Saccharomyces cerevisiae S288C: one gene and its partner. The protein of the gene in region 1 purifies or fractionates together with the protein of each later gene. This does not show direct contact. Each region holds a gene or a part of one and is shown on either strand. Other genes may lie near its edges.

Region 1 (4,111 bases):
GAGCGACAAAGATAAAAGAAAGGGATCTTCAGATTCCACTGCCTCTATAATGGGCAGTTCCAACGCACTTCCGACCAAAAACCTAACCACGCCTCCAGCACTAAACCCCTTAACGACCAGCATTAGTAGGGGTAATACTGCATACGAAAGAAGCGTAAATGGTAGCCGTATAACAATGCACTCAAACCTGGCACCTACGGAGACGCAAGACGTATCATGGTCTGAAATCGATACACTGGATGATGTGAAGAAGATGGCGAAAGAACCTATCGTCAACGACGGGTTCCCACGAGATTTTGAGAGCAATCTCACGCAAATGCGCAAGTCGCACGCTCAACTACTGCGATTAATGAGGGAAAGAAATCAGCGACTAAAGTATGCCAAGCTGAGGAGCCCTCCTCATAAGGATCAGCATAATTCTGCCACGAATAAAGATCAAGAACCAGACGAGGTATTGCATGACCCGGAAATCGCACTTGACGGTGAGAAGTACGTGAGCCAAGTTGTCGATACTATTAAAGATGTTCACCGATGCTGATGACATGTATGGGTTGAAAATATTTAGAGGATGCTAAAAGTCCCGTCTAAAATAGAGGAAGTCATGGATTACATTATCACCTTTATTGTCCTGTTCCGTCTGGCTAATTTGGGACGAGGAACGTTTGTCTCCATTCGCAACCTTTTGAAACCATATGAACGGCGGCTAATCTGACAGATGTCTTATATTTCTAGGATTGTAGAAAGCCTCCTCATCAAACCACCTTGTTTGAAAAAGGCACTAGTGCGGTTGCTTTACTTGATCTAGTATTCTCCTACCTTGGAGCGGTCCCATATCAACTAAATTCAGTTTTCTGACTGAGTTAAAAACTAATGTAGCGACACCACTTCCATTGGTGCCTCCGTTATTTTTTTTTTGTATGTTAATGCTAAATAATACACCGCTATGTATTTCAGGGCACTACTTCTACACATCAACGGTACTAAACATTTCGCTCAAGATCGGTCCGCTTTCACGTATTTGGATGCTATGCAATGTTGACTATTCTTAGTGGATAACATGCGGCATTTCCTGGCGGCTATTTGCATCGCTATGTAAGTGGCAATGTTCGGATGTGGGTAGTACTTTCAAAAGAAAAAATATTACTGAAGAAGGCATACTACGCCAAGACTATTTTATTCTCAGCACTTGTCCTACGTGGGGTTAGAGGCGAGTAAGACTTTGGCCCCGCTGCGGAAGCAAAGAGAATTTTGCCATCGGACATGCTACCTTACGCTTATATCTCTCATTGGAATATCGTTTTCTGATTAAAACACGGAAGTAAGAACTTAATTCGTTTTTCGTTGAACTATGTTGTGCCAGCGTAACATTAAAAAAGAGTGTACAAGGCCACGTTCTGTCACCGTCAGAAAAATATGTCAATGAGGCAAGAACCGGGATGGTAACAAAAATCACGATCTGGGTGGGTGTGGGTGTATTGGATTATAGGAAGCCACGCGCTCAACCTGGAATTACAGGAAGCTGGTAATTTTTTGGGTTTGCAATCATCACCATCTGCACGTTGTTATAATGTCCCGTGTCTATATATATCCATTGACGGTATTCTATTTTTTTGCTATTGAAATGAGCGTTTTTTGTTACTACAATTGGTTTTACAGACGGAATTTTCCCTATTTGTTTCGTCCCATTTTTCCTTTTCTCATTGTTCTCATATCTTAAAAAGGTCCTTTCTTCATAATCAATGCTTTCTTTTACTTAATATTTTACTTGCATTCAGTGAATTTTAATACATATTCCTCTAGTCTTGCAAAATCGATTTAGAATCAAGATACCAGCCTAAAAATGTCCAATAACTCATTCACTAACTTCAAACTGGCCACTGAATTGCCAGCCTGGTCTAAGTTGCAAAAAATTTATGAATCTCAAGGTAAGACTTTGTCTGTCAAGCAAGAATTCCAAAAAGATGCCAAGCGTTTTGAAAAATTGAACAAGACTTTCACCAACTATGATGGTTCCAAAATCTTGTTCGACTACTCAAAGAACTTGGTCAACGATGAAATCATTGCTGCATTGATTGAACTGGCCAAGGAGGCTAACGTCACCGGTTTGAGAGATGCTATGTTCAAAGGTGAACACATCAACTCCACTGAAGATCGTGCTGTCTACCACGTCGCATTGAGAAACAGAGCTAACAAGCCAATGTACGTTGATGGTGTCAACGTTGCTCCAGAAGTCGACTCTGTCTTGAAGCACATGAAGGAGTTCTCTGAACAAGTTCGTTCTGGTGAATGGAAGGGTTATACCGGTAAGAAGATCACCGATGTTGTTAACATCGGTATTGGTGGTTCCGATTTGGGTCCAGTCATGGTCACTGAGGCTTTGAAGCACTACGCTGGTGTCTTGGATGTCCACTTCGTTTCCAACATTGACGGTACTCACATTGCTGAAACCTTGAAGGTTGTTGACCCAGAAACTACTTTGTTTTTGATTGCTTCCAAGACTTTCACTACCGCTGAAACTATCACTAACGCTAACACTGCCAAGAACTGGTTCTTGTCGAAGACAGGTAATGATCCATCTCACATTGCTAAGCATTTCGCTGCTTTGTCCACTAACGAAACCGAAGTTGCCAAGTTCGGTATTGACACCAAAAACATGTTTGGTTTCGAAAGTTGGGTCGGTGGTCGTTACTCTGTCTGGTCGGCTATTGGTTTGTCTGTTGCCTTGTACATTGGCTATGACAACTTTGAGGCTTTCTTGAAGGGTGCTGAAGCCGTCGACAACCACTTCACCCAAACCCCATTGGAAGACAACATTCCATTGTTGGGTGGTTTGTTGTCTGTCTGGTACAACAACTTCTTTGGTGCTCAAACCCATTTGGTTGCTCCATTCGACCAATACTTGCACAGATTCCCAGCCTACTTGCAACAATTGTCAATGGAATCTAACGGTAAGTCTGTTACCAGAGGTAACGTGTTTACTGACTACTCTACTGGTTCTATCTTGTTTGGTGAACCAGCTACCAACGCTCAACACTCTTTCTTCCAATTGGTTCACCAAGGTACCAAGTTGATTCCATCTGATTTCATCTTAGCTGCTCAATCTCATAACCCAATTGAGAACAAATTACATCAAAAGATGTTGGCTTCAAACTTCTTTGCTCAAGCTGAAGCTTTAATGGTTGGTAAGGATGAAGAACAAGTTAAGGCTGAAGGTGCCACTGGTGGTTTGGTCCCACACAAGGTCTTCTCAGGTAACAGACCAACTACCTCTATCTTGGCTCAAAAGATTACTCCAGCTACTTTGGGTGCTTTGATTGCCTACTACGAACATGTTACTTTCACTGAAGGTGCCATTTGGAATATCAACTCTTTCGACCAATGGGGTGTTGAATTGGGTAAAGTCTTGGCTAAAGTCATCGGCAAGGAATTGGACAACTCCTCCACCATTTCTACCCACGATGCTTCTACCAACGGTTTAATCAATCAATTCAAGGAATGGATGTGAACAAATCGCTCTTAAATATATACCTAAAGAACATTAAAGCTATATTATAAGCAAAGATACGTAAATTTTGCTTATATTATTATACACATATCATATTTCTATATTTTTAAGATTTGGTTATATAATGTACGTAATGCAAAGGAAATAAATTTTATACATTATTGAACAGCGTCCAAGTAACTACATTATGTGCACTAATAGTTTAGCGTCGTGAAGACTTTATTGTGTCGCGAAAAGTAAAAATTTTAAAAATTAGAGCACCTTGAACTTGCGAAAAAGGTTCTCATCAACTGTTTAAAAGGAGGATATCAGGTCCTATTTCTGACAAACAATATACAAATTTAGTTTCAAAGATGAATCAGTGCGCGAAGGACATAACTCATGAAGCCTCCAGTATACCCATCGATTTGCAAGAAAGATACTCGCACTGGAAGAAAAACACTAAACTACTTTATGATTACCTAAACACGAATTCAACAAAGTGGCCGTCCTTAACGTGCCAGTTCTTTCCTGATTTAGATACCACTTCGGATGAGCATCGCATCTTGTTATCCTCATTTACATCTTCCCAAAAACCTGAAGATGAGACCATATATATTAGCAAAA
Region 2 (3,394 bases), on another chromosome or scaffold:
ATGTTAAGGTAACAGTTATGAGGAAGTCCACAGACATCTCGAAAATAAAAAGATTTTGGGTCTATCTTTATAATAGTGTAACTACTGCGCCAAATACCCTTTCCGCAAATGAGACAAAGGCAACCACTAATGACATCGCTGGTGGTAACTATGCTGCAGATAATGCGAGTGACAACACGCAAACAAAGAGCACCCAGGGTGAGGCGGCAGACGTTAATCAAGTTTTGCCGATATCACATTCAAATAATGAGCCCAAGCCTGTTAGATTGGATATAGGTATAGAAAATTGCCTTCACATTGAGTTTGAATATGCCAAATCCCAGTACAGCTTAAAAGAAGTCATTGTGGGGCGTATATATTTCCTTTTAACGAGACTAAGGATAAAACATATGGAATTAAGCTTGATCACAAGAGAATCTTCCGGCCTACAAACTTCTAATGTAATGACAGATTCCACTGCTATCCGATACGAAATAATGGATGGGTCTTCAGTGAAAGGTGAAACCATACCCATAAGATTATTCTTGAGCGGCTATGACCTGACGCCCAATATGAGCTGCAACTACTTTAACGTCAAGAATTATTTGAGCTTGGTTATTATCGATGAAGATGGCAGAAGATATTTTAAACAATCAGAAATAACATTGTACAGGACCCGGTAGAAAAGCTCGACCTTAAATAAGGTGAAGATGTGGTTCTCTGTTCTTTCAACATCTCGATATTTAACTTTTCGTTTGGCATTATAGTGTTATACATAACAATATCTAGATTTCAGTAGAAGACTTTTGCGTAAGTTATAACGAACTAAACAAGCAAGAGGTAAAATACGATATAGTAAGAAGCTCAAGTGCTAAAACTTTTTTTCTCTACGAAAGGAGGAATAGCATATGGTTTTCTTCCCTTTTACAGTGCTTCGGAAAAGCACAGCGTTGTCCAAGGGAACAATTTTTCTTCAAGTTAATGCATAAGAAATATCTTTTTTTATGTTTAGCTAAGTAAAAGCAGCTTGGAGTAAAAAAAAAAATGAGTAAATTTCTCGATGGATTAGTTTCTCACAGGTAACATAACAAAAACCAAGAAAAGCCCGCTTCTGAAAACTACAGTTGACTTGTATGCTAAAGGGCCAGACTAATGGGAGGAGAAAAAGAAACGAATGTATATGCTCATTTACACTCTATATCACCATATGGAGGATAAGTTGGGCTGAGCTTCTGATCCAATTTATTCTATCCATTAGTTGCTGATATGTCCCACCAGCCAACACTTGATAGTATCTACTCGCCATTCACTTCCAGCAGCGCCAGTAGGGTTGTTGAGCTTAGTAAAAATGTGCGCACCACAAGCCTACATGACTCCACGTCACATGAAACCACACCGTGGGGCCTTGTTGCGCTAGGAATAGGATATGCGACGAAGACGCTTCTGCTTAGTAACCACACCACATTTTCAGGGGGTCGATCTGCTTGCTTCCTTTACTGTCACGAGCGGCCCATAATCGCGCTTTTTTTTTAAAAGGCGCGAGACAGCAAACAGGAAGCTCGGGTTTCAACCTTCGGAGTGGTCGCAGATCTGGAGACTGGATCTTTACAATACAGTAAGGCAAGCCACCATCTGCTTCTTAGGTGCATGCGACGGTATCCACGTGCAGAACAACATAGTCTGAAGAAGGGGGGGAGGAGCATGTTCATTCTCTGTAGCAGTAAGAGCTTGGTGATAATGACCAAAACTGGAGTCTCGAAATCATATAAATAGACAATATATTTTCACACAATGAGATTTGTAGTACAGTTCTATTCTCTCTCTTGCATAAATAAGAAATTCATCAAGAACTTGGTTTGATATTTCACCAACACACACAAAAAACAGTACTTCACTAAATTTACACACAAAACAAAATGATCAGAATTGCTATTAACGGTTTCGGTAGAATCGGTAGATTGGTCTTGAGATTGGCTTTGCAAAGAAAAGACATTGAGGTTGTTGCTGTCAACGATCCATTTATCTCTAACGATTATGCTGCTTACATGGTCAAGTACGATTCTACTCATGGTAGATACAAGGGTACTGTTTCCCATGACGACAAGCACATCATCATTGATGGTGTCAAGATCGCTACCTACCAAGAAAGAGACCCAGCTAACTTGCCATGGGGTTCTCTAAAGATCGATGTCGCTGTTGACTCCACTGGTGTTTTCAAGGAATTGGACACCGCTCAAAAGCACATTGACGCTGGTGCCAAGAAGGTTGTCATCACTGCTCCATCTTCTTCTGCTCCAATGTTTGTTGTTGGTGTTAACCACACTAAATACACTCCAGACAAGAAGATTGTCTCCAACGCTTCTTGTACCACCAACTGTTTGGCTCCATTGGCCAAGGTTATCAACGATGCTTTCGGTATTGAAGAAGGTTTGATGACCACTGTTCACTCCATGACCGCCACTCAAAAGACTGTTGATGGTCCATCCCACAAGGACTGGAGAGGTGGTAGAACCGCTTCCGGTAACATTATCCCATCCTCTACCGGTGCTGCTAAGGCTGTCGGTAAGGTCTTGCCAGAATTGCAAGGTAAGTTGACCGGTATGGCTTTCAGAGTCCCAACCGTCGATGTTTCCGTTGTTGACTTGACTGTCAAGTTGGAAAAGGAAGCTACTTACGACCAAATCAAGAAGGCTGTTAAGGCTGCCGCTGAAGGTCCAATGAAGGGTGTTTTGGGTTACACCGAAGATGCCGTTGTCTCCTCTGATTTCTTGGGTGACACTCACGCTTCCATCTTCGATGCCTCCGCTGGTATCCAATTGTCTCCAAAGTTCGTCAAGTTGATTTCCTGGTACGATAACGAATACGGTTACTCCGCCAGAGTTGTTGACTTGATCGAATATGTTGCCAAGGCTTAAATAAAGCAATCTTGATGAGGATAATGATTTTTTTTTGAATATACATAAATACTACCGTTTTTCTGCTAGATTTTGTGAAGACGTAAATAAGTACATATTACTTTTTAAGCCAAGACAAGATTAAGCATTAACTTTACCCTTTTCTCTTCTAAGTTTCAATACTAGTTATCACTGTTTAAAAGTTATGGCGAGAACGTCGGCGGTTAAAATATATTACCCTGAACGTGGTGAATTGAAGTTCTAGGATGGTTTAAAGATTTTTCCTTTTTGGGAAATAAGTAAACAATATATTGCTGCCTTTGCAAAACGCACATACCCACAATATGTGACTATTGGCAAAGAACGCATTATCCTTTGAAGAGGTGGATACTGATACTAAGAGAGTCTCTATTCCGGCTCCACTTTTAGTCCAGAGATTACTTGTCTTCTTACGTATCAGAACAAGAAAGCATTTCCAAAGTAATTGCATTTGCCCTTGAGCAGTATATATATACTAAGAA

What was found. The genes of interacting proteins can lie anywhere in the genome.
Region 2: the proteins of PGI1 (region 1) and TDH1 purify together in Saccharomyces cerevisiae (affinity purification with mass spectrometry; 2 studies listed by BioGRID, with this or other methods). This does not show direct contact.

Annotation. Positions count from the first base shown.
Region 1 is NC_001134.8:611,630-615,740, reverse strand, and holds PGI1 (glucose-6-phosphate isomerase), read left to right. Parts: upstream 1-1,840; coding exon 1,841-3,505; downstream 3,506-4,111. Other genes in the region: YBR197C (uncharacterized protein), read left to right, coding at 1-538; YBR196C-B (uncharacterized protein), read left to right, coding at 1,111-1,215; YBR196C-A (uncharacterized protein), read left to right, coding at 1,568-1,717; MSI1 (Msi1p), read left to right, coding at 3,859-4,111. UniProt on the Saccharomyces cerevisiae protein: In the cytoplasm, catalyzes the conversion of glucose-6-phosphate to fructose-6-phosphate, the second step in glycolysis, and the reverse reaction during gluconeogenesis.
Region 2 is NC_001142.9:336,376-339,769, forward strand, and holds TDH1 (glyceraldehyde-3-phosphate dehydrogenase (phosphorylating) TDH1), read left to right. Parts: upstream 1-1,895; coding exon 1,896-2,894; downstream 2,895-3,394. Other genes in the region: retromer subunit PEP8, read left to right, coding at 1-662; YJL052C-A (uncharacterized protein), read right to left, coding at 1,509-1,628. UniProt on the Saccharomyces cerevisiae protein: Glyceraldehyde-3-phosphate dehydrogenase (GAPDH) involved in glycolysis and gluconeogenesis. Catalyzes the reaction of glyceraldehyde-3-phosphate to 1,3 bis-phosphoglycerate.